Linked DNA regions of Macaca mulatta. The main gene of each other region encodes a partner of the protein of the gene in region 7 in a complex. Links are inferred from orthologs where the notes say so. Each region holds a gene or a part of one and is shown on either strand. Other genes may lie near its edges.

What was found.
Region 1: CUL3 (region 7) and KBTBD2 share a complex: the UniProt entries of both Homo sapiens proteins name them as parts of the BCR(KBTBD2) E3 ubiquitin ligase complex. The link is inferred for Macaca mulatta from reciprocal best matches to the Homo sapiens genes CUL3 and KBTBD2.
Region 2: CUL3 (region 7) and KLHL25 share a complex: the UniProt entries of both Homo sapiens proteins name them as parts of the BCR(KLHL25) E3 ubiquitin ligase complex. The link is inferred for Macaca mulatta from reciprocal best matches to the Homo sapiens genes CUL3 and KLHL25.
Region 3: CUL3 (region 7) and KLHL12 share a complex: the UniProt entries of both Homo sapiens proteins name them as parts of the BCR(KLHL12) E3 ubiquitin ligase complex. The link is inferred for Macaca mulatta from reciprocal best matches to the Homo sapiens genes CUL3 and KLHL12.
Region 4: CUL3 (region 7) and KLHL21 share a complex: the UniProt entries of both Homo sapiens proteins name them as parts of the BCR(KLHL21) E3 ubiquitin ligase complex. The link is inferred for Macaca mulatta from reciprocal best matches to the Homo sapiens genes CUL3 and KLHL21.
Region 5: CUL3 (region 7) and RBX1 share a complex: the UniProt entries of both Homo sapiens proteins name them as parts of the BCR(ARMC5) E3 ubiquitin ligase complex. The link is inferred for Macaca mulatta from reciprocal best matches to the Homo sapiens genes CUL3 and RBX1.
Region 6: the proteins of CUL3 (region 7) and KLHL22 are in contact, whole or in part, in a cryo-EM structure (PDB 8K8T), measured with the Homo sapiens proteins. The link is inferred for Macaca mulatta from reciprocal best matches to the Homo sapiens genes CUL3 and KLHL22. Residues at the interface, in NP_003581.1 of Homo sapiens: Thr14, Arg17, Ile18, Arg19, Ala20, Phe21, Pro22, Met23, Met25, Asn49, Ser50, Gly51, Leu52, Ser53, Phe54, Glu55, Tyr58, Tyr62, Leu66, Met118, Asp121, Ile122, Met124, Tyr125, Arg128, Val129, Gln133; in NP_116164.2 of Homo sapiens: Asp73, Tyr74, Arg76, Gly77, Met78, Gly81, Gly82, Leu83, Lys84, Glu85, Leu92, Ile93, His94, Leu117, Gln121, Val125, Cys128, Gln129, Gln131, Pro133, Trp146, Glu150, Asn151, Asp154, Val155, Arg157, Leu161, Phe162, Asp163, Ser165.

What each region holds. Positions count from the first base shown.
Region 1 is NC_133408.1:95,474,691-95,478,190, forward strand, and holds part of KBTBD2 (kelch repeat and BTB domain-containing protein 2), read left to right. Parts: intron 1-872; coding exon 873-2,408; 3' UTR 2,409-3,500. UniProt on the Homo sapiens protein: Substrate-specific adapter of a BCR (BTB-CUL3-RBX1) E3 ubiquitin ligase complex that acts as a regulator of the insulin signaling pathway, modulating insulin sensitivity by limiting PIK3R1/p85alpha abundance in adipocytes.
Region 2 is NC_133412.1:75,565,259-75,568,758, forward strand, and holds part of KLHL25 (kelch-like protein 25), read right to left. Parts: exon of another isoform or gene 3,268-3,500; intron 3,051-3,267; exon of another isoform or gene 2,899-3,050; intron 2,735-2,898; exon of another isoform or gene 2,476-2,734; intron 1,692-2,475; 5' UTR 1,681-1,691; coding exon 1-1,680. UniProt on the Homo sapiens protein: Substrate-specific adapter of a BCR (BTB-CUL3-RBX1) E3 ubiquitin ligase complex involved in various processes, such as translation homeostasis and lipid synthesis.
Region 3 is NC_133406.1:60,583,888-60,587,387, forward strand, and holds part of KLHL12 (kelch-like protein 12), read right to left. Parts: intron 3,227-3,500; coding exon 3,073-3,226; intron 1,402-3,072; coding exon 1,184-1,401; intron 843-1,183; exon of another isoform or gene 469-842; intron 344-468; exon of another isoform or gene 185-343; intron 1-184. UniProt on the Homo sapiens protein: Substrate-specific adapter of a BCR (BTB-CUL3-RBX1) E3 ubiquitin ligase complex that acts as a negative regulator of Wnt signaling pathway and ER-Golgi transport.
Region 4 is NC_133406.1:234,192,476-234,196,083, reverse strand, and holds the end of KLHL21 (kelch-like protein 21), read right to left. Parts: intron 3,560-3,608; coding exon 3,266-3,559; 3' UTR 501-3,265; downstream 1-500. UniProt on the Homo sapiens protein: Substrate-specific adapter of a BCR (BTB-CUL3-RBX1) E3 ubiquitin-protein ligase complex required for efficient chromosome alignment and cytokinesis.
Region 5 is NC_133415.1:10,578,625-10,582,679, forward strand, and holds the start of RBX1 (E3 ubiquitin-protein ligase RBX1), read right to left. Parts: upstream 2,801-4,055; 5' UTR 2,780-2,800; coding exon 2,702-2,779; intron 265-2,701; coding exon 186-264; intron 1-185. UniProt on the Homo sapiens protein: E3 ubiquitin ligase component of multiple cullin-RING-based E3 ubiquitin-protein ligase (CRLs) complexes which mediate the ubiquitination and subsequent proteasomal degradation of target proteins, including proteins involved in cell cycle progression, signal transduction, transcription and transcription-coupled nucleotide excision repair.
Region 6 is NC_133415.1:32,193,835-32,197,334, reverse strand, and holds part of KLHL22 (kelch-like protein 22), read right to left. Parts: intron 1,319-3,500; coding exon 600-1,318; intron 1-599. UniProt on the Homo sapiens protein: Substrate-specific adapter of a BCR (BTB-CUL3-RBX1) E3 ubiquitin ligase complex required for chromosome alignment and localization of PLK1 at kinetochores.
Region 7 is NC_133417.1:129,759,212-129,762,711, forward strand, and holds part of CUL3 (cullin-3), read right to left. Parts: intron 2,506-3,500; coding exon 2,277-2,505; intron 1-2,276. UniProt on the Homo sapiens protein: Core component of multiple cullin-RING-based BCR (BTB-CUL3-RBX1) E3 ubiquitin-protein ligase complexes which mediate the ubiquitination and subsequent proteasomal degradation of target proteins.

The DNA.
Region 1 (3,500 bases), on a different chromosome or scaffold from region 7:
CATATATTCTCATCTGATCCTTGCAGTGTTCATTTGAGGTAGATAACCGTTATTTCCCCATTTTATATAAGAGAAAATTGAACTTTAGAGATTTGAAACTTCTTTCCTAATAAGTAGTTTAATTGGCTAATTTAAGTTTTAAATCCAAGCAACCTTTTAAGCTTTAAATCCAAGCAACCTGACTTCTCAGTGTAAACAGTTTCTAGTTAATCACTATGATGCTGCATAAATATAGTAGGTAGCACACCTGATTCAACTGAGATCTACCTTCTTAAGAAAAAACAAATCTAGGAAGCTTACAGTGTCTAAGATGGGTCATTTAAATATAGGTAATTTATAACTGCACATAAGTCTATTTCATGTTGCTTTGATAACTTACCTCTCTAGATAAGAATGGCAAATAACTACTACTCATTGTGCATGATTTGCTGGTTTTATGTGACTGTCTCGTCCAAGTTGAGGAAACCAGAATCCAGTTACTCAACAACAATTTTCTGTATACTATGATTTGTTTACATTTTTTCGTATAGTTCTCTCAATTATATATGAAGTCTAGGAAAGTATGACTTATGTATGAATTTCCTTGCCTATTCTTTAAGGCTGTTTTGTTTTTTAAGAACCTGTTTATTGTTGTACTACTGGTTCCTAAATAGAACAGTTAAGTAGGCCACTGAGCAGGAAAAATTACTGCAAAATTATATAGTCTTCTGATTTTATTACTACCAGAAGACCTTATCTCTTAGCCCAGATGTGTGTATCTGAAAATAAAAATTACACTGTGGGCGTCTGATTAATATACTTAATGTCTTACATAAAAGTAAAATGTGTCTGTCCTGGCCCTATCAGCCTGTTTTTTTTCCTTCTCCTTCTAGGTAGAAGATGTGTTACAACGTTGTCGAGAATATTTAATTAAAAAAATAAATGCAGAGAATTGTGTACGATTGTTGAGTTTTGCTGATCTCTTCAGTTGTGAGGAATTAAAACAGAGTGCTAAAAGAATGGTGGAGCACAAGTTCACTGCTGTGTATCATCAGGACGCGTTCATGCAGCTGTCACATGACCTACTGATAGACATTCTCAGTAGTGACAATTTAAATGTAGAAAAGGAAGAAACCGTTCGAGAAGCTGCTATGCTGTGGCTAGAGTATAACACAGAATCACGATCCCAGTATTTGTCTTCTGTTCTTAGCCAAATCAGAATTGATGCACTTTCAGAAGTAACACAGAGAGCTTGGTTTCAAGGTCTGCCACCCAATGATAAGTCAGTGGTGGTTCAAGGTCTGTATAAGTCCATGCCCAAGTTTTTCAAACCAAGACTTGGGATGACTAAAGAGGAAATGATGATTTTCATTGAAGCATCTTCAGAAAATCCTTGTAGTCTTTACTCTTCTGTCTGTTACAGCCCCCAAGCAGAAAAAGTTTACAAGCTATGTAGCCCGCCAGCTGATTTGCATAAAGTTGGGACTGTTGTAACACCTGATAATGATATCTACATAGCAGGGGGTCAAGTTCCTCTGAAAAACACAAAAACAAATCACAGTAAAACAAGCAAACTTCAGACTGCCTTCAGAACTGTGAATTGCTTTTATTGGTTTGATGCACAGCAAAATACCTGGTTTCCAAAGACCCCAATGCTTTTTGTCCGCATAAAGCCATCTTTGGTTTGCTGTGAAGGCTATATCTATGCAATTGGAGGAGATAGCGTAGGTGGAGAACTTAATCGGAGGACCGTAGAAAGATACGACACTGAGAAAGATGAGTGGACGATGGTAAGCCCTTTACCTTGTGCTTGGCAATGGAGTGCAGCAGTCGTGGTTCATGACTGCATTTACGTGATGACACTGAACCTCATGTACTGTTATTTTCCAAGGTCTGACTCATGGGTAGAAATGGCCATGAGACAGACTAGTAGGTCCTTTGCTTCAGCTGCAGCTTTTGGTGATAAAATTTTCTATATTGGAGGGTTGCATATTGCTACCAATTCCGGCATAAGACTCCCCTCTGGCACCGTAGATGGGTCTTCAGTAACTGTGGAAATTTATGACGTGAATAAAAATGAGTGGAAAATGGCAGCCAACATCCCTGCTAAGAGGTACTCTGACCCCTGTGTTAGAGCTGTTGTGATCTCAAATTCTCTATGTGTGTTTATGCGAGAAACTCATTTAAATGAGCGAGCTAAATACGTCACCTACCAATATGACCTGGAACTTGACCGGTGGTCTCTGCGGCAGCATATATCTGAACGTGTACTGTGGGACTTGGGGAGAGATTTTCGATGCACTGTGGGGAAACTTTATCCATCCTGCCTTGAAGAGTCTCCATGGAAACCACCAACTTACCTTTTTTCAACGGATGGGACAGAAGAGTTTGAACTGGATGGAGAAATGGTCGCACTACCACCTGTATAGTTGGGAAGTTCAGGGAGTGCACGCCTGAGTTATGTGCTTTGTCATTTTCTTTGCTAAACAAAAGAGGCTATGAAAGAACTAAATATGACTACATAAAAATCTATCTTTGATAAATTTTATTTTTATGCCCTACTTAATATTTGCATCAGTATAATATATATCAGTGAGTCTTACAGAAAGATATGCTTCCATAATATGAAATAGATTATTCAATAATTGAGAAACTTTATGTGTAATCATGAGAGTATAAGAATCTGGATTATCTAACATTGTTAGCCCTGTGTATGTACAGTTCAAAAAGTTCATTTATAAAAGTAGTTTCCTGTTCTTAGTGTGGTATATCACAAATTGTGCTGAGGTTATTTTAGTATGTGTATTTCATTCCCGTGCTTCTGTTCTGAAGTCCTGGAATACAGTTTTCAGTGTAATTAATTCAACTGCACTTAACACTAATGTCCATGTTGGTATAGAAACGTCTAAATCCTATACTCTAGTTGAGGAAGATCTTCCATAATTTTATGGTATTACACAGGGAAAGCTATGACTGCAGGATCAGTCTAACTATACTATTAGGTGCATGTATTCTCTTTTCACTAACTTATACTTGTCTATCTAGAATACAGGTCTTCCGGTCAGCTGGTCATTTACCAGGTGTGGACTTACGTTGCTGGGCTTGCAGTAAGAATTGCCAGCCCCTCATTGTGCGGGTCTGCGTGGAGCTTTAATCAGTAAAAGCCTCCACTTTCTGTATTATGTTAACATTGGCTCATGCATATAACTACCTGCTGCTGATGTAGTTCTCCATCTTCAAGATTTAGAGTGGGTTAACCAGGTCATTACATCTTAATTTAATAACAAGCATTACTGTAGAGTGATTGTGTATAGATCTGTTAGCTGTCAGGGTGTGTTTTTTTTAACCTGTTGTGTGCGTGTGGGGGTTAGGATTAGTAAGGTGAACTGTTCAGGAATTCTCTGCACTAGCTGTGCAGAAGAGCAGATAACTAGCGCTGCTCTGGCATTAATCCCAGGAACCACTAGCAGTAGTGGGGCGCCGCCAATCTAACATGAGCACAGGTGCTTCATGACAAACAT
Region 2 (3,500 bases), on a different chromosome or scaffold from region 7:
GGGGTCATAGCAGTCCAGAGTCTTACACCTCTGGGTCCCAAAGTAGCCCCCAACCACATACAGCTTGTTGCCGGACGCCAGGGCATGGCAGGACATGCGCTTGGCGGTCATGTCCCCAATCCGTGTCCACTGGTTGGTCTCACAGTCAAAGCGGTAGGCCGAGGCGGCCGTGAATTCCGTGTCACCTCCCATGATGAAGATCTGGCTGCCCAGGACGGCAGCGGCTGTGTACCGCCACGGCTGGGGGCACTCAGCTTTGATCGTCCACCTGTTCTCCGCGGGGTCATAGCACTGGACCTTGGACACCATGTCCCGGTGGATGCTGGTTCCTCCAAACACAAAGAGCTTCAGCTTGGCACTCACTACTGCGGCATTGCTGACGCCATCCCTCAAGGGGGCCACCATCATCCACTTGTTGGCCCCAGGGTCGTATTTCTCCACTTGTTTCAGGGAGACAGAAGGGGAGGCTGGGAAGACGCCTGCCAGAGAAGTGTGTCCCCCCACCACATAGAGGCAGTTCTCCAGCTCCGCTGAGCCATGGCCAAAGCGGGCAATCAGCATGGGCGCCGCCTTGGACCATTCCTCATGTACGGTGTCATACACCCAGACGTCCTTGGAGACCCCGTTCTCGGAGCCCCTGCCCCCTGTCACATAGACCTTGCAGCCGATCGCTGAGGCGCTGAACTCCTTCCGGGGGCTGGGCAGGTCGGCCTTGGGGATGATCTCCTTGGCCTTGTGGTCCACCTGGTAGATCTTGTCACACATGAAGGTCTGACCCCCCAGGATGAGCAGCGTGTGGCCTGCTTTGCGTGGCCGGGCACAGGGGCTGGTGACCACGCCGTCATTCTGCAGGATCCTGGTCTTGCAGCGCAGGGCCTCGTCTATGATAAGCTTGGTGCGCTCGTCCGCCATGAGAAGTGCCTCGCTGGAGACGGCCTCCTGCAGGCAGTCAGACGGCAGCAAGGCCAGGCGCACGCTGCGGAGGAGCTCGGGCAGGTGGGCCTTCCGCGGCTCCAGGTCGTGCTTCACCCACTGGAGGATGGCCTCGAAGACCACCCGCTCGTCCTCGGTCTCCAGCTCATCACTCGAGATGAGGTCCAGCAGCGTGTCCTTGGACAGGCTGTTGAAGTCCTCGCTCTGCCGCACCGTCTCAAAGTGCACCAGGCACATGCGCCAGGAGAACTCGTACAGCCGGCGGCACTGGTGGGCGTCCGAGAGCAGCATCATGCCCAGGCAGTTGGAGGGGAAAAGGTTCTTCTCCAGGAACTCGGCGGCGGCGTCCCGCACGTCGTGGAACTGCAGCATGTCGCCCGCCTCCAGCAGCGACTCAGCGTTCTCCTCGTTAATGGCGATGCGTGAGGAGTAGGCAAAGTCCAGCAGCAGCTCCAGCACCTCCGGGTGCAGGTTGTCCTGGAAGTTGACAGTGTCGTCCCGGCTCTCCCGCAGGCCGTGGCTGAACATGGCCTCAAAGTAGCGGCTAGAGGCGGCCAGCACGGCACGGTGACAGGGGAAGGCACGATCGCCCGCCCAGAGCGTGACGTCAGTGAACATGCAGTGCTTGCGAAGCGTGTTGAGGTGGGCCAGCACGCAGTCCGGGTGGGAGGCCTTGTGGAAGAGGGTGACGTTCATGGACCCCGTGCTGCTCCGCGACTTGCGGGTCTCATGGACGCTGACCGACATGGTGCACCAGCCTGTGGGGGAACAAGCCCACAGGTCAGCGGAGCCCCTCCTGTCCATCTGCCCTCTCAGGACTCTCTCTTCAGCATGAGCCCCCTTGCCCCCTCCCACCCACTCCCTGCTCACCTCTGCTAAACCAAGTCCCTCTCCCGCAACCACGTTGCCAAGGACAACATAGGCAAGAGTGGCTGGGTCTGACCCTGCCCTGCAGAAACTGGTTTTGTTCTCAGGGTATGGGCCAGCTCTGGGACAAACATCTTTGGCCTGCAGATGAGCCACCCCCTAGGTGAGCTAGAGTTGAGGCTGCCTCCCATGGTTGAGAGAACACGCAAACGGTGTTCCTGACTCAGGCAGGTGTCCGGGCAGTGCTAAGTAACTGGTGCCTTTGACCACATTCCACCCTCATGACAGTCCTCTGCAGAAGCTTCTCCTGTGAGTCCCATTTTAAAGCTAGGGAAGCCACAGCTCAGAGAGGCAAAGAAACTACCCAAACCGCCACAGCCAGGATTCTCATACGGGCTGTCCGGCTCTGGAGCCTGATCTCTGTTCAAGGTGACTGATCCCTGCAGGGTTTGCTGTGGACACCCAAGTAGAGCCTCATGTACCCGCTTCCCTGCTCCCAGCAGGCTCTGCCCTGGGCTGGTACTGGCTAGACATCCCCCTAGCCTTGGAACAAGAGCTGCCATCAAGGCCCAAGTGCTCAGTGGAGACGTGTTCTCTGAATCCAGGTGTCCCCACAGGGCTCTTCACTTAGCTGGGGCAAGTGATGGCCTGGAGGTGGGGCCACAAGTGACTCACCCTCAAGACCAAGGCAGAGGCCCAAGATGACAGCAGGACATGCTGAACACTAACTGAAGTGATCCAGATTTGCCTCAGCCAAAGCAGAGAAACATGCAGCCAGAGCTTCCCGGGTCCCCGATTGACTCCAGGACCCTGAGTCAATGCGACGCCTCCCCTGCCTCCCTTGTCTGCCCTTCTCCCCCAGGCCTGGGGACCGGGTGCTCAGAGTGATGGAGCAATGGTCTGTGCCAACAAACAGGTTCGCTGCCTGCTCAATCTCGGGGAATTCCAAAGCACTGTCATTAACGTCCAGTGAACAGCATGACCCAAGGCCCCAGTTCAGTACTGAGAACTCAAGGGTCAGACAAAACTCATGCCTACAGAAATTATGGCCAACACCTTTGATGCCATCTCTAAGACCACAGCTACCTGCCCCCTGACCTGTGGAAGGAGACTGTATTCAACAAGTCTCCCGATCAGGAATTCTCTGACCACCTTGTCAAGACCCTCACCAGAGTCTCCGTGCTGCGGACCCAGGCTCCAGCTGTGGAGACAACAGGGTTTTTACACAAGAAAAATAAAGTGAATTAAGCCTGGAAAAAAAGAAAAAGAAAAGAAAAGAAAACATGGCCAAAACGCAAACTGCATTCCAGCATTTTGACCCCCTAAAAAAGCCTGTGCTGCCGTCTTCCTGCTGGTAATGGGGCCAAGAAAAACAAAAAACCCTAAACAACAAAGTTTTTCATTTTTCATTTTCAAAAGTATGTAACTCCCCTGCCGCCTCCCACTCCAAGTCAATTTTCTACTTACCTGGTAAAGGTAGGAAACGACTTCATGCTTCAATGAAATTGCAAATGAGTGTCCGACTACATGGCTCTCTCTTGCTCACTCCTCCTCTGGCAAAGAGGCAGAGAAGCCACAAACTGACAAGATTAGAGCTAGGCAAGGTCCCTGCTTTTGGGCTTAGGCAGAGAGGGCACAGCAGCCGTACTGGCCTTGCTGCTTGGGCCCCCAAGCTCCAGGCAGACTGCAGACTGAGGACC
Region 3 (3,500 bases), on a different chromosome or scaffold from region 7:
CGCCATTCTCCTGCCTCAGTCTCCCGAGTAGCTGGGACTACAGGCGCCCGCCACCGCGTCCGGCTAGTTTTTTGTATTTTTAGTAGAGACGGGGTTTCACCGTGTTAGCCAGGATGGTCTGGATCTCCTGACCTCGTGATCCGCCCGCCTCGGCCTCCCAAAGTGCTGGGATTACAGGCTTGAGCCACCGCGCCCGGCCTAGGTGAAGTATTATTCCTTTTTCTTCGCCTGCAAGAGACAGGGTCTCCCTCTGTTGCCTAGGCTAGAGTGCAGCAGTGTGATCATGGCTCACTGCAGCCTCAACCTCCTGGGCTCAAGAGATCCTCCCACTTCAGCCTCCCAAGTAGCTGGGACCACAGGTGCTCACCACCATGCCAGGCTAATTTTATTTTTTTGTAGAGACAAGGTTTTGTCATGTTGCCCAGGCTAGTATCAAACTCCTTGCCTCAAGAAGTTCTCCTGCCTCAGCCTCCCAAAGTGCTGGGATTACAGGTACAGGTCACTGTGCCTGGCCTACTATTCCTTTAACATCCAGTTTGCGTGTCCCTTCCTTCCATCCCCTGCGCCCTCACAAGACAGTTATGATTTGGCTCCTGCTTCTGTAGATCCTCACTTCCAAACTTTTGTCTCTTCATTTTTGATCCACTCCTGAGCAAAGGTTTATTCTTCTCTCTTCTACGTAATGTCCTTACTTTGTATAGGCTCATTATTCTTATTATCCTCTTTATTTTTTATATACATATATATAGTCTATATCTCTGTCTCTACTAGCAGGTTGTGAATTTTTTGAAAGCAAGAACTATATTTACCCATTTGGGGATCTGTAGCACCTGGCATAGTAATTGCTACATAGTAGATATTCTCAGTAAATGTTTGTGAAATGAGTGAATGGGTAACAGAGAAGTGGTCTACAGATATCTACTTTACTTCCAATTTCTGCTTATTCTATACTCTGTTTAATAGTGATTCTTACCCACTCGGATCATATATCTAATTGAAGAAAGTGGCAAACTCCCACTCCATAAAAATGCAAATAAATTTGGTACAGGAGGGGTTAATGAAATCTTTGAGCCAAAATACACACTTGATTATGAAGCCCTAATGGTAAGTAACTGCATCCTACTTTGCAAGTTTTGTAACTGCCCAATCTTGAAGAAACCATAACATCAAGACAAATCTGTACCTGAATTTCATCGCACTTGATTAGTTTTTCCACCTCTCCTTGACTCAGAAGAATGAACTCTTCATGCTGTACCACTTCAGGAAAATGTTTCTGGCTAAAAACCTCAGCTGCTTGCATCAGGTCAACACAATTGTGGGTTTCTGCAAAATCCCTAATGCCCAGGCAATTAGAAGGGTCCAACTGACTTTCTAAGAACTCACAGCAGGCTTGTTTCACACCTAGGACGGACACAGGAAGCAAACACTTTAGAACAGTTGGACGGGTGTGATCTAGTCTGTATTCTTGTATCTCAACATCTTCTCTACATGTTATCAGATGAACCCTTGTTTCAACACCTAAGAAACAGATGAGAAATTCTTTGCTTAAGGAACTTAAAACCCTATTTCTGGCTTATGTACTGCGCCACTTTCAGCAAGACCTTTACACCTGTCTCTGTTTAATCTTTAAAGTGAATATTGCAAGATGAATCACATCCAGGGACCTGGCAAAATTCAACAAAAATGCCTACAAAACTCTTGGGAATCAAACTATAAAACTAATTACTAATTCAGCATAATGTACCCATTTTTCTACTCTACATGAAAACTTACTAAAAGACTAGAGTGAAAGAAAAGCAGAAGATAATAACAAATCTCATATTCATCTAATTGAAAAGTTCAGGGTATTTTAATTTTATGACTATGCACTAATGCAAAAGCTTCACACTGTTTAAACCATGTATTAAAAACTAAAAATGTATCAATTATGTATATATAAAAACCAAAAACATAACTGAATTTTAAAAAGAAAAAACTGAGGACCAGGAATGGTGGCTCATGCCTATAATCCCAGCACTCTGGGAAGCAAGGTGGGAGGATCACTAGAGTCCACGAACTTGAGACCAGCCTGAGCAACACAGAGAGAACCCGTCTCCACAAAAAAAAATTTTTTTTTTTTTTTGAGACGGAGTCTCGCTCTGTCACCCAGGCTGGAGTGCAGTGGCCGGATCTCAGCTCACTGCAAGCTCCACCTCCCGGGTTTACGCCATTCTCCTGCCTCAGCCTCCCGAGTAGCTGGGACTACAGGCGCCCGCCACCTCGCCCGGCTAGTTTTTTGTGTTTTTTAGTAGAGATGGGGTTTCACCGTGTTAACCAGGATGGTCTCGATCTCCTGACCTCGTGATTCGCCCGTCTCGGCCTCCCAAAGTGCTGGGATTACAGGTTTGAGCCACCGCACCCGGCCAAAAAAATTTTTTTTTAAATTAGCTGGGTGTGGTGGCATGTGCCTGTGGTCCCAGTTACTCAGGATGCTGAGGTGGGAGAATTGCTTGAGCCCAAGAATTCAAGGATACAGTGAGCTGTGATTGTACCACTGTGCTCTAATCTAGGTGACAGAGTGAGACTCTTGTCTCAAAAACAAAATAAGAAGTCTAAAAAACCTGGGAACTGTAAGGGAAAACAAACCACCTGTAATCCTGTGAAAACATACTTTAATATTTTGTGCATCAATTTAAATTTCATTTATCTTAATGAAATACTACCACTTAATGGCCAGATAAAGAGTATCCATGTAGATTATGTATAGTATCAGTTTTTATTATAGTTCCTTATAGGTGTGTTATATACATGTATGTAAGAAAACACATAATTTCTCCTTCCTACATTTTTTTTTTTAAAACAGAAAAGGTGCAAATGCTCTTTTATAGTGCCAAATACTCATATCTGGAGAAGTTCCTTTATAGTGCTATTGACATCTGATCTCTTATTGCTCAATGAGACAAAAGCCATGGCTAGTAAACATAAGCATCCATAGTTTGTCTCCAAAATGTTCATGATTAAGTTTACACTATTAATTTTCAACCTTTCCAGGGCTATTTCAACATAAATAATACCAAGTTTTAATGTCTGTACCTTTCAACTGAAGCAGACAGGCTGCAGGAAGCAGTTCTTGTACATTCTCCACTGTCACATGTACTGTTTCTGTGTACACAAAGTCCAATAAAATTTCCATGGTAGAGGCAGTCAAACCTTGGATGTCAACATAAGGTTTCCCCTTCTCTGAAAGCTGAAAATTTGAAAGGTAAAAAAGAATGATGGTTATAATTCTACAAGATAAAGGCAGAATCTCATACCTAAGAGCTTAGAGATGTTAGTAACATTAATTGAACATATATCTTTAAAAATTATAGGCCAGGCATGGTGGCTCACGCCTGTTATCCCAGCACTTTGAGAGGCCAAGGCAGGCAGATCACCTGAGGTCAGGAATTCAAGTTCAGCCTGGCCAACATGGTGAAACCCCATCTCCACTAGAAATACAAAACTTAGTCGGGCATGGTGGC
Region 4 (3,608 bases), on a different chromosome or scaffold from region 7:
ACCTCCCCAGGTCCAAAGGCCATCCCATTGCAGATGGGAGTCTCACCACTACCTGTATGTACCGCAACCTCAGGAAGGGCTGTGGGAGCTGGGCCCGGGTCGAGGACAAACGGGCAGAGACCAGCTTTGGAGCAGGCAGGTTTGCCGGGCATCATCCACGCCACAGCATTTACTTCTCAAGCCTCTCCTCTCTTTAAATGGAGACAAGGTCTTCCTGTATTGCCCCGGGTGGTCTTGAACCCCTGGGCTCAAGTGATCCTCCCTCCTCAGCCTCCCAACACTGGGATCTCAGGTGTGAGCCACCACACCCTGCCTCTCGGGCATGTCTTTTCCACTGCTTCATTTCTTGCTACAGTCTGAGATGAGAAAGGGCCTGGAAGGCTTTTTAAGACCCTCAGTGTGAGCCCTGGACTCCATGCTGCCTATTCCCCCGACATCTGGCCTCAGCCCAAAGGAGTCCCAGAAGACAGTGGCAGGAGGACAAAGGCAGTGACCCCAAATGGATAGGAAATACTTTATTGCAAAAAGTACTGAAGGTACCCCAAAACCTTAAGCAGGATTCTGGACATGGAAGCCTACAGAATAGACAAAAATAAATATGTCAACTTGCCCAATCCTCTGGGGTGAACTGGATGTGGACACTGGAGGGAGGGCGTCCTTTATTACATACGCGTCTCTGAAGTCGTATAAATATAGAATACCTTATAGTAGATCAGCATTAAATACCAGTCACTGTGTTTACATAACTTAATTTGTGCTGTAGACAAAATTCTGTACACGTAACACGTGGCCATGCCCAGGCTTCCCAGCATCTGTCCTGAAGTCAGTGTGAAGACATCCTTAAGTGGTGGGGACATCACAGCCCAGAACCCACAGCAGAGGGGAGCTGGGGAGAGAGGGCCTGACCTTGGATCCACCTTGACCAAGGTCCAAGGTGACCTTGGACACCCAGCTGGTGTCCACAGGCTAGAGGGACCCATTGCTGCAGAGGCTGGTGTCTGCTCTTCCCCATACTTGGTCTTCCAAACCCAAAGACGGGGTCCTGATGGTGGAGACCTGGGCAGGTCTGGAGGACAGACACAGGAGAGGGCACAATCCCAAACCCAGCTCTCCTGCACTGGCTCGCACCACAGCCCCTGTCTGAGTGGCCACCACAGGCCTGGAGTACGGCAGCTGCCAACCACAGCAAAGCCGCAAAGAGTGAGTGAGAAAACAGGAACCCAGAGTTCTCTTCCACAGAGGCAAGGCCTCACAGCCCAGCCCAGCCCGAGATGCCCTGTGCTGGCAGTCATGACACAGTCTGGACAGCATGTCCTTCCTTGGGTGCCGAGCTCAGTGCCTGGGACAGTCAGGGATTGAGGGCATAGCCAACCTTGTATGGCCAAACCCAGCCCTTATGCCCCTGCTGCCAAGGGAGACAAGCTGCCCCACTGAGCTCCAACAACCTCTGGATGGGCTCAGCAGCCCCCTAGGAAGTTAAGTGAGTGCTACAGGGCAGGGAAGCTCCCTGAGGAAGTTTCCACAGACCAGGAGAGTCCAACGGGTAGCCCCAAGGGAGCAGAGGAAGGAGGAGGGCAGGAAAAGGCCCAGGGCACAGGGCAAGCAACCGTGCCAGAGGGCTCCTGGTCACAGGAAGCCCAGCTGCATGTTCCACGCTGCCCACAGGACTCCCAGCCAGGTCCCAGCAGGCCTGGACAGTGCTGGGCCCCCATCCTCGGCCTTCCCACCAGCACCTGGTACACAGCAGGTGCTGGGAGATGACCATGACTCAACGGAGAAGAGCCGCCACGAACCGTAACCACACCAGCCAGGGTGTTCTAGGACAAGACTTTCTAACCCGACAGCAATGACATCCACAGTGTATGGACTGGGCTCTTCAGGAGCACGAGGGAGAGGCCAGGCAGCCCTGTCAGGTGTCCCTTAGCCCTTCCTAGGGGACATATTAAGGCAACCAGCCATGCCATCTGGCCAGCACAAGGGTCTTAAGTGCAGTCTGCTAAGTGACAGTGCTAAGACTGTCTTCCTGCTGAGAACATCTCTACAAGTTAGTTCACTAGAAAAGGCAACACACATTTGCTTTCATCTTCTTTAACGAGGAAGACGCAGTGTAAACGCCCTCTCCTCTGAAAAGGGAGGCAAGGACAAAAACTCAAGCCAAGGCTACTTTGGGTACTTTGAGGGAAAACTGACCATTTCTAAGAGAAAACCAGGGGCTGCCAAGCTGCGGCATTCGCCCGGGAGCTCCTGCAGAAAGCTTTGGCAATAGGACTTTCTAGACTTGAAAACAGGAACAAAGCTGACCCTGTAGAGCTCCCTCTTCTTCCCACTTCTTCTTCTAAGGTCAAACTGCAAGCATTTTCAACTTTGGAACTACCAAGGCCACCTCCTACCCAGGACTTCCTTTGGAAGCGGTGGGACTCCTCATGCACAGGCCCAGCAAGGGCTCGGGCACCCACAGCTGTCTGCTTGGCTGGGTGTCAATGACCGCCTCCCAGGGCCTCCTGGGAAGGAGCTATGACCTGGCGCTGAAACCTCCCCTGGGCTTCTGTCCCAGGCCGGTGAAGAAGAGGGTGAGAGGTGAGGACACAACAGCCAGTCGGGGCGGGAGCGGGGGACTATGGCTGGAGAGGTCCAGCATCTGGTATGGCCACATCCTCTTCACCCTCCCAGCCCACACCCTTGCTCATGCCCCACTGTCCTGGGTGCAACCTCTGGAGACCAGCACTCCGAGGTGTTTTGAAGCAAGCCCTTGGCAGGGGCCAGGAGCTAGGGAGGCAGGCTCCCCACACCTCTGGATGTGGAATTTGGGACCCCACTTTAGCCTCTGCCTGGTGCCTGGTCCGCTGCTCCAGGTTCACATCATCCTCAGCCTCATGGGAGGACCCCTCCTCCCTTCACGCGTCCCTCCCAAGTTGTCCTCCTCTCCCAGCGTGGGAGCAAGTAGGTGCAGATGACAGCAGCAGGAGGGGTGTGCGCCGCGTGGGTGAGCTGTGATCCGCAGGGTGGGGGTGACCTCCAAGACCCAGAAACGTGCCAGCAGGAAAGTAGCTCTTCCTCAACTGCGGGAAGGGCGTTCCTGATGGCCTCAGATCAGGCTTTCAAGGCACAGAAACCTTCCAGGTAATGCATCCTGGGCTTGCTCGGCCACCCAAGAGCCCGTGCTCCTCCTGTGAGCCCAACCTGTCCTTGTGCACAAAGGAGTGGGGCACTGCCCCGCAGAGGTGCCAGTTACCTGCACCAAGGCCCATGCAGGGTCAGACCGGGGCTAGTGCAGCTCGTCAGGGTCCCGCGGCGGCCGGGGTCGGCCCGGGTCCATGTCATTGCTGCCACTGTCCAACTCGAAGCCGCGCCCACCTGAGAAGGTCTGGGGCATGAACTGGCGGAAGATGCTGACGCTGCCATGCCAGAAGGTGGGTTCTGGGAGCCGCCCCACCACGCTCCATGCGCGAGTCTCTGGGTCATAGGCCTCTACTACGTCCGAGAGTTCAAACGTATTGTCGTATCCCCCAGAGACGTACAGCTTTCCCCCAAGGACGGCCAGGCTGCCCCCAACGTGCACCTGTGGGTCAAAGGGATGAGTGAGTGGAGGTCAGAGGAGGGGGTAGGGC
Region 5 (4,055 bases), on a different chromosome or scaffold from region 7:
GGTATGCCTCCAGGACATCATAAAAAAACTACTCTATTTCAAACACACCAAAAGACTAGATACAGAAGACCGAGTGCTCAGAGTAGGCTTGATATCTGCTTGTGAAGAAGAAAATCGGTCACATCAAGATAGCCACAAGCTCTGCAACCTTCTCAACTTCCTCCCATCCTCCTCCAATTACTTACAAAGATCCATAATGTGGTTCCTGCAGATGGCACAGTTATCAACCACAATATCCCAGGCCCAGAGGGCTACTGCATTCCACTGCAAAGACAAAAAGAGGGAACAATGCATTCTCCTTATAACACACACACAGTTTTTAGGACTTCAGGCTGCAGTTGTAGTTATGATCTCTGGCCACAAGGAACCACCAAACAAAAGGTTTTGGATATTATGTTAATCTTATTATACCAAAGACAACAGTAGACAACACATACGTTCTCCTATTCTCCAAAAGACTGAGTATATGAAGACATAAATGAATGTCATCTTTTGTTTCCTGTAGTTTAAAACAATTTAGTCTGGCCGGACGCAGTGGCTCACGCCCATAATCCTAGCATTTTGGAAGGCTGAGGCGGGTGGATCACCTGAAGTCAGGAGTTCGAGACCAGCCTGGCCAATATGGCGAAACCCCGTCTTTACTAAAAATACAAAAATTAGCCAGGCTTGGTGGCGGGTGTCTATAATGCCAGCTATTTGGGAAGCTAAGGCAGGAGAATCGCTTGAATCTGGGGGACAGAGGTTGCAGTGAGCCGAGATCGTGCCACTGCACTCCAGCCTGGGCGATGGAGTGAGACTCCATCTAAAAAAAAAAAAAAAAAAAAAAGCACAAACTTGAATTTCTGTGCAGGTTTTGGTGGCAGTTGCAGAAGCGCTCAAAATCTGAATAAGTATCTGCTCTTCCAGGCAGCTTTGGAAGCATGAGCAATGAAGTGAAAGCTAGGGAACAGAATGAACTAAGATGATGACTGGATCATAAAACAGGTAATCGTGGGATAAGCTGGATAATTAACTGCCCATGTCAGTACACAGAACAAGGTCATCACTTAAATCTTAGATTACTTCATAACAAATTCTACAATTCACTAGAATTTTGTTCGATTCTTACCATAAAATAAACTGATGTTCTGAACTTTTATATGTTTAGACTCTTCTATTAAGATAATAATTCCAGGCCGGGCGCGGTGGCTCAAGCCTGTAATCCCAGCACTTTGGGAGGCCGAGACGGGCGGATCACGAGTTCAGGAGATCGAGACCATCCTGGCTAACACGGTGAAACCCCGTCTCTACTAAAATACAAAAAAAATTAGCCGGGCGAGGTGGCGGGCGCCTGTACTCCCAGCTACTCGGGAGGCTGAGGCAGGAGAATGGCGTGAACCCGGGAGGTGGGGCTTGCAGTGAGCTGAGATCCGGCCACTGCACTCCAGCCTGGGAAACAGAGCTAGACTCCGTCTCAAAAAAAAAAAAAAAAAAAAAAAAAAGATAATAATTCCAGTAAGAGTTTAATTAAAAGTGGCATTTCATTCATTCAACTCTGGTTTCCTCAATTACAAGTACTCCCAAACCTTCATCGCTTTCAAACCCCAGTCTCAGTGCCTAGTAACTTCTTCACCACTTTTCACATCACAGCTTCAACTTGGAGGAAAAGCCCCTACTTCTATTATTCTTCAATATGGCTGGCTGTAACTGAGCAGCAGTGGCCACAATGAGACACCAAAAAGCACTAGGAGGGGGGGGATATTGTCAGTGTTTAGCCAGATGTTCCAGGAATATCTTCCCTATTTCAGAATCTCCATTTCGAATAGTTTTCATGTTAGGTGGGAATCGACACTTTTCTCCCAAACTGTGGCAAACCACTAAAATGCATTTCATGCAAAAGACACGTTCCATTTTTGCTTTCCCCTCTTACCAAGTCATTCGCAACTAGTACTCAACCCTTCCGAAATGCCACAGGATTTGGGCTCGGATTTTCTTAACAAGTTCCACCGTGCTTTTTATTATTATTTCGGAAGGGGGAGATTCTGAACGTGACAGAGAATCCAAGAGTGGGGTGGTTGTGGGAAAAGCCAACAGACGTCTCAGAACACCCAAGCATTACACTCCAGACTCTAACTCGGCGGTGTGAGGCCCAGAGATGGGGTTAATGGAGGCCTCGGTTCAGCGAGGAACAAGTCTGATCCCTTCAAGTGAGAGGACCCCAAGCAAGCTTCAAAAAGGGGCGGAGCAAGATCACTAGCGGGGCTCCTCAGAGGCCTCCAATGCGGTAGGACCTCAGGTTCCAGGCTTTCGCCGCACTGCCCCATCCTCCACCGCCGCAGTCGCTCTGACTCCCCATTCCACCCACCCCACCCCACCCCACCCCACCCTACCTCACCCCACCCTACCTTCCCCCACCTCTCAACCACTCCAGTGACAGCTCAGGCGCTTGGCTCCCGCCGCCAAGTCGCAACCCCGCGTATCTCAACAAGCAGCTCTGTGATTGGCCCCTCAGCCTCACATCGAAACCAACACTTCCCCTGACAGTGGGCCGCCGTCACGCCGATCAACTCTAAGGCCCGCCCCCCGACTTCCTTTCGTGGTACCCGGTCCCAGGAACGCCCTAAAATGAAACCCTTTACTCCGCGCCTCGACCATCCTCGGGCCTGCCAGCCAGATCCGCGCCTCTCTAGCTTCCCTGAGGAAGGCGCTGGCGAGACCCAACCTTTTTCACTTCAAAGCGCTTCTTGCCCGCGCCGCTGTTGGTGCCGCTCGGGGTATCCACATCCATCGCTGCCGCCATTTTGGAAACACACGGTCTGTCGTCCGACCACCGCGCCTGCGCAGCAGCGCACACCTCGTTCCCCCAGCCTCCCCGGCACCTCCTCCCGCACCCCACCCCTTACTGGCGCGCGTGGGGGAGGTGGGGGCGGAGCACGTGACCACGCCTCTTAAAGGGGCTATCGCAAGTCGCCCCACCCGCGAAGTGTCGGCCGGGGAGGGGGCGGTGGCCGGAGTGGGTGGGGCGGGGCGGGGCCGGGCGGGGCCGAGGCTACGTGAGCTAGCCTGGTAGAAACGTTCGAAAGGGCTCGAGGTCGCCGCCTCCTCTGGGAAGCCCCCGGCCGCACTCCATCAGCTGGGGCGGCGGCTGCTTCCTCCGCCTGAGTCGGACCTGCGCCGCAGTCCTGTCCTGCCTACCGGGCTCGCCCGGTCGCCGCGCGACTCCCATTGCTAGCCGGGGTGGGCGCCCGCCGCCTGCCCCGAAACCTGAGAGCCCTCGCTGGTCTTTCGCAGACTCTGACCCACCTCCGAGCCAGGCCCAAGGCGCAGTCCGCGTGGGAGGGCTGGGGCCCAGGCACCGTCTGGTCTCCGATTTCTGTTCGGGAACTGCTCAGGGATCGATGGGGAGAGAGGAGAGCCCCGAAGGTCCTCCCTAAGGCCAGACTGAGCAGGCCCCCAGTGCTGCCCTCATCCCCCCGCCAAGCCTGGAGGGTGGCCTCTGCGCCCGCTTAGTCGCAGTCCTAGGACCGCCTTTGGTCGTGGTGCGCGGTTTCACCGTGGCGTGTGTCAGTCCCCACTTCTCATTCCTCAGTTGTCATCTTGTGTAGGGTGATTTCTCCCCAGTCTGTGTCCTCTTTCCGCTACTTGTGCTATAGTGAAACCGACCCATCTGCAGTCGCTGTATTTCTTTAATTTTTGTGAAGCATTCTTTTTGGGGTGTTTTTTTGAGACGGAGTTTCGCTCTTGTTGCCCAGGCTGGAGTGCACTGGCGCGATTTCGGCTCACTGCAACCTCCACCTCCCGGGTCCAAGCGATTCTCCTGCCTCAGCCTCCCTAGTAGCTGGGATTACAGGTGTCCGCCACCACGCCCGGCTCTTTTGTATTTTTAGTAGAAACGGGTTTTTACCATGTTGGCCAGGCCGGTCTCGAACTCCTGACCTCAGGTGATCCGCCTGCCTCGGCCTCCCAAAGTGCTGGAATTACAGGCTAGAGCCGATTTTTTTTTGTTTTAAATAGAGACAAGGTCTCACTCTGTTTCCCAGGCTGGTCTCGAACTCCTCGGCTCAAGCGATCCTCCC
Region 6 (3,500 bases), on a different chromosome or scaffold from region 7:
TGTGTGGCTGACTGCAGGGCACAGCGAAAATGCAGCATGAGGCTCAGTGATGCTTGTTGGCCTTTACCACTCCCCTGGGCTGAAGACTGCATGCTGCTCAGGCACAGAAGCAGGAAGTCTGTTCCACCATTAGCGAGCAGGTAAGAAAGAAGAAAGAGCAAGGCAGACTGGCGAAGGGAAACTGAAACAATATGCATCAAAGCTGAGAGAGAGCACGACGGAGGGCGAGGCTGCCCAGCTGCCACTGCTCCTAGGTCCTCTCCATCACAGTCCGACTGCCTTTCCTGCTGTGGGCTCCCCTCCCGTCTCCTCCTGCACAATACACTCACAACCTAGCCCATCCCAAAGAGGCTGAGCAGGGGTCCAGGGTAAATGGGTTTCTGAGGAGTAGAGGACATGCAGGAAAGAAGGCAATCCGGATGTCCCCTTCCCTTATCTCACTGCTGTCCACCTTCTCTGAATTCACCCAGACTTTATTCCACAATGACAAGTGAAGTTCATGTGAAAGGCTGGGGGAACCTGAGCAACTCTCTCAGCCCATGACTTCCACACCCTCACATCACCTGAAGACAAAGGGACCAGCTAGCACCCTGTCCTACCTCCAGCATCGGGACTCTGCTCGAAATCCTTGGACATTGTTGTCCCCTCCAATCAAGTATACGAAGTTGTTGAGCACCGCGATGCCCTGGTTGGACATGCGGGGTGCCAAGGAGGCAGTGAAGTGCTTCCACTCTCCCAGTAAAGGGTTTAGATACTTGGCCTGGTCGCTGAGGACAGTGGACGGCGTGGAGTGAATGCCCCCGAAGCCCACAACGCACTGGAAGTCCGACCGCAGCTCCGTTTGCGGGCTCTGCAGGCTGGGCTGTAGGCTCTCGTTCCGGTGGTACATGAGGGCACTGGCCACTGTGTCCCTCAATGGGCTGGGGTCCAGCTTGTCATGCAGCCGCTGCAGGACCTCAGCTTCCATCAGCGGAAACCGCACTGTCTCAAGGAGCTTTGGGGGCTCGTGCAGCGAGATCTGGTCAGCCTGCACCTGCTCCAGGCTGTAATGGTAGAGAAGGGCTCCCTCGTATACCTCGGTCTCGCAGGAGACCTCCAGGCGATTGCTGCTGAGGAGGGAGTAGACCTTCTCCAGTGGAAGCTGGCGGTACTTGTCAGTCCGAGAGAAGGCCACAAAGTTTTTGAGGATGTAGGTGTCCAGTTGCTCAGTCAGGCGGCTCAAATCAAACAGCTCTGCCAGCCGGTAGACATCAAGAATGTTCTCTTCGTCCACCCAGGACATGAGGAAATCACAGCAGAAATGGATAATTTCTGGGATCTGCAGAGAGAATGACACCCATTGAAGCCTGGGCTAGCGAACAGCATCTGGGGGTGGGAGACAGAATGATGGCAGAAATACAGGCCCTTGTGGGCCAGGCAAAGTGGAAAGGAAGTCCTCCTTAATTGTCCCTGACCTTTTCTGACACACTGGAGACTGGGGCTTACTGCAGACTGGGTTTAAGTCCTGGTTTGGAAACGTACCAGGTGACAGGATATACAGCATGTTTTGTTGTTTTGTTTTGTTTTGTTTTGAGACGAAGTTTCACTCTTGTTGCCCAGAATGGAGTGCAGTGGCGCAATCTCGGCTCACTACCACCTCTGCCTCCCAGGTTCGAATGATTCTCCTGCCTCAGTTTCCCATACAGAATGTTTTTAACCTCTCTAAGACTCAATCTCCTCATCTATAAAACAGGGATCATTAAAGTGAGGAGGAGTATGATGAAAATAAGAGAGCACATAGGAGTGGACCCTTGATATACGTCAGCTCCCTCTTAGATCAAAAGTACTGGCTCAGCCAGGCATGGTGGCTTACGCCTGTAATCCCAGCACTTTGGGAGGCCGAGGCGGGTGGATCACGAGGTCAGGAGATCGAGACCAGCCCGACCAACATGGTGAAACCCCGTTTCTACTAAAAATACAAAAATTGGCTGGGCGTGGTGGTGCACGCCTATAATCCCAGCTACTCAGGAGGCTGAGGCAGAAGAATCGCTTGAACCCAGGAGGCAGAGGCTGCAGTGAGCCAAGATCGCGCCATTGCACTCCAACCTGGGTGACAGAGTGCGACTCCACCTTAAAAAAAAAAAAAAGTACTGGCTCTCCAGAAAAGCAGGAAGCAGCACAAACGGTTACTGCGTCATGTATCTGTGGTTTGGAAAGGACCTAAGACCACCCCCATCCTTACCCTAGGATTCTCTAGAAGAGCCTGCCTCTCCAAAAGTGCTGGGAGCAAAAGCAAACCCGGCCTTTTCCCCCTGCCAGAACATCCACCCTGGTTCCCTAGGAGTGCTCAGAGCCTCTCAGACACCTAACCAGCACCAACCCAGAAACCTGACTTAGAATTCTTTTTCTTTTTAAAATTTGAGACAGGGTCTTGCTCTGTCACCCAGGCTGGAGTGCCATGGCAAGATCACAGCTCACTGAAGTCTCAAGCTTCTGGGCTCAAGTGATCCCTGACTCAGGGTTCTTGAGGTCCCCAGCTGGGTCAAGACCCACTTGACTCCAGTAAGTGAAGGGGCTCCCAGGTGGCCACATCAACCCTTCCCAACCGTGGGGAAGCACTAGTGGTTTGAAAGGACAGCGAGAAAGAATGGCACTGGAGGGAGATGGGAATGAGGCCACAACTAGCAGGCTGTTAAAGGCCACCCTGTGAACAACCAAATCTTGGAAAATAGAAGACAAAGGTAAGGGCCCTAGGGAAAACTGCCTGGGAGAACAAACCAGGTGTTGATAAATTCTTTAGGAAAGCAGGATTTTAGAGGTTCAGTGGGGCCCCCCAGTGCCTACCTCCTTTCTTTCCGAGTTCAGATTGAAAAATGACAGAGTATCTTGACCTCTCTGTGACCCAGTCAACTGCAGGTTTTCCCAGCAGGCTTGAACCCAAACTGGGCCCTTGAACATTCCCAGGCACTGATAAAGGCATCAAGGTTGTTACCCAAAACACTGAAAGAAAAACTGGTTCTGGCCCTGAGACAAATTCCTTAAACCCTAATTGAAACTCCATACCCTAACCCACTCCATGGGCAAGCCTGGGTAAAGCCTCTCTTTTCCCTTATCTGTCTTGAGGATATGCTGCACCACTCTATACATAAGTTCCCTCTAATAAACGCTCTGGCCAGATCACCCTGGTGTTTGATGCTTCTTTCTTCGGAATCCCAAACCAGCTCCATTTCAGGATGCTGTGGGGTCCCCTCTTGTGGGAACCCCCCTGCTACCAACTCCAGTCATGGGTTCAGTGCAATAAATCAGTTTCTCTAAAAATGGAAATACCTGGCTTATCCAGGATCATCAATAAATTAACCATTACACATGGAATAATTCTGCTGGTATTTATTTATTTATTTATTTTTAAATTTTTATTTATTTATTTATTTTTGTTGAGACGGAGTCTCGCTCTGTTGCCCAGGCTGGAGTGCAGTGGCGCGATCTCGGCTCACTGCAAGCTCCGCCTTCCGGGTTTACAC
Region 7 (3,500 bases):
GTTCTCAACAAGAGCAACTTTTTTCCAAGAGCGGGGTCTACCACAATTAAGATCTTTTGCCACTAGGTTTCTAGTGGAAGCTCAGAAAAATTAAAGACAACAGTTCCCCCTTTTTTTCTTAAGACAGCATCTCCCTCTGCAACCCAGGCTGGAGTGCAGTGGCATGATCTTGGCTCACTGCAGCCTTGACCTCCCTGGCCGGATTCAAATGATCCTCTCACCTCAGCCTCCCAAGTGTCTGGAACTATAGGCATGTGCCATCACGCCCAGCTAATTTTTGTGTTTTTCATAGAGACAGGGTATCACCAATTTGAACTCCTGAGCTCAAGCGATCCACCCACTTCAGCCTCCCAAAAGTACTGAGATTACAGGCGTTTGCCACACTGCCCGGACAAAAACAGGATTTTAAAATTTAATTTAGAATCACAGATAGCTACTGTGTTGTTGGAAACCTAAGGTACTAAATAAAGGAGAACTCTGGTGAGTACTATTATGATATTCCTTCATTCACGTTAAGTGCCTGCAATGATAGGCACACCTGACACCTTTTACATATATCTCCACACAAGTTACAGAGATGCTGTAATTCAGGTATGCCCAACAACCTCTCCATCAAACATTTCCTAGCCCCTCATCTCCAGCCCATTTAATCATCCCTCCCTACATGCCCCTAAGGTAGGTAAGAAAGCATTCACTCAATACCTAAACAGTACATTACATAATTTATCGATACTCATTTTGTTTAAGCAGGGCAAATGCTTTGCATGAAGTCCTAGTCTACCAGAGACCATTTAGAGAAGGGTCATCAAATTAGAACCCGTGGGGCAAATAAGCCTGCCACCTATTTATGTACATACAGCTCATGAACTAAGGATGGTTTTCACATTTTTAATCGCTGAGGAAAAACTGTAAAGGATACTATTTAGTGACGCATAAAAATTATATGAAATTTAAGTTTCAGGGCCCATAAATAAAGTCTTATAGAAACACAGGCTTATTCATTTGTTATTGTCTATGACTATTTTCTCACTATGACTGCATGGCTCACAAGCCATTTTATTCAACAAGAACAAAAAAGGCTTGCCAACCCCAGACTTAGACCTTAATTTTAGCAAACACGGCAAACATACTAGATGACTTGTTTTTTTTTTTTTTTTTTTTTTTTGCTTTTACAAAAAAAGGTTTAACAGAATAGTCTTTTAAAAAGGAAGTCTCTCTAGTTTTTTTTTTTTTTTTTAAATTATGTATCACTTTTCAGGGATTTATCATATATACAAAAATTTAACAATTTTAAAACACAAGGTAAGGATTCCACTAGAGAGAAACGTGGCTCAACTTCCCACCAGCTTTCTTTTTCCCTTCTCTTGTATCCTCCTGCTCTTCATAATTCTCTGTTAAAAAACTTTTTTTCATTCCCTACATAGCTCATGACCCCAAGAGGCAATATGTATTTCTTTTACTAAAAAGAAGTGGATAAAATATCGCTCAGATTTCATCTACGAAGCAGGAGAACAAGGGACCATGTTTTTTTATTTTCTAATACCATATCACTGATAAAGGCAAAGTTTTAAATCAAAGCATCAGAAACTAAGAATAGAAGATATGGTTATTGTTCTTTTAACTTGTAATTTCTTCTAGGATACTTGTCACAATTTTTTTTTTACCCCAGGGAAATAAAGATAAATAGCTACAAAAAATAAATGTTAGTTATCTCAATAGTGTTTTCTACTTTTATGCACTCCTCCTTCCTCCTTTTCCATTCTGTAACTTCAGTGTTCCCCAAACCAATCTAATTTATCTAAGTGTATCAATATGGAAGACATAAATATTTTTGCATTTTTGGCACCCTATCACAACTAAATCCCAAAGGAAAGTCTACAAAAATCTAAGGTGGAAATTTAAGATTTTAAGAGAATCACAAAACCCCAAGAGTATGTAGGAATAAAGACAGCCCACATCCTTTGGTATACGACAAGTACAGGAATGAATGAGGAGCTCATTGGGCTCACCTACTGTTACACTTTTTATCTTCTGGATTAAGAAAAACATAAAATGAGACTTAAAGACAGGAAATGCTCAATTCATTAGAAATATCTAAAATCTTCATTGGTAAGACAGTATCAAGCTTGGAAATCCCACCCAGGTTAACAGCGGAGACAAATTAACAATATACACAACTTCTTGAAAACTGATACCTGCTTTAAATGTAGGAAAGTTTTAAAAATATCGATAAGGCAGAATAAGGATTTAATTATTTTTCAATCGGTAACACTTACCTTCTGTCTTTCCATTTTTCAACATATGTACTAGCCCAGAATTCTCCATTTCTACTATAGTCTTCATGTGCTTGGAAATGAGTTCCCTCTCAACTACCTTCACAATTGGTTCTTCCGTTGATTTGTCAAGGCAGTGCATCACTCGTTCTATCTCTTCATTAATTCTAGCTTCTACTTTCTTTATATATACTGAAGCACTATTTTCTGCTAAAAATTTCTGGCTTTCCATCTGCAATTTAAAAATGTAATTTTTTTAATATAGAAGAAAAAGGTGTTTTTGCTCTTAGCTGGGGTTTCTATAGTGTTTATAATAAATCAACCTAAGTAAAATAAGTACTAATAGGATTTTGTGTAATCTCTCATTACAAAGATTGATATAGTCTGAATTATATCCTTTAAAGCCTTTGGTGTTTACATAATACTAAATTAAAACATTTCCTGTAAACAATGTTTTTCAAACTGTGCCAATGCACTCCAAAAAATAGCCAAAAAAGTAAATATATATGCCAGCGAGGGTCAAAAATATAGAAGCATCTGACTCCAAGATAGAGTGGGATGTTCTTTTTAGATTTGTCTGAATGCAAAATTATAACCAGAAAGATTCATCATGTTTATCATACGCTTTGCTGGCATACTGCTGGTTACTAAAGTCTTCCTGCCATCCCACTCCCAGTCTCAACGGAGTAAACATATACACTAACGTTTGAGAAAAAGAGTTTTTAAATAACTAATAATCTTTTTATTTATTTATTTATTTATTTTGAGGTGGAGGAGTCTTGCTCTGCCACCCAGGCTTGAGTGCAGTGGCGCGATCTCAGCTCACTGCAAGCTCCGCCTCGGCATTCTTCGGCCTTAGCCTCCCGAGTAGCTGGGACTACAGGTGCCTGCCACCACGCCCCGCTAATTTTTTGTATTTTTAGTAGAGATGGGGTTTCACCGTGTTAGCCAGGATGGTCTTGATCTCCTGACATTGTGATCTGCCCGCCTCGGCCTCCCAAAGTGCTGGGGTTACAGGCGTGAGCCACCGCGCCCGGCCAACATTTTAGCTTCTTACTAATACATCTGTTTTGGCAACACTACAAAATTCCTACTGTTATGGAATGTTATGTTATGCTACGTTATGTTATGCTCAGATAGTTATGGTATTCAGGAAAAATGCCTGGTTACAGTTACCTTACAAATACTATCTTATGCTTACTGGTACTCAGTTATTATTATCATCAT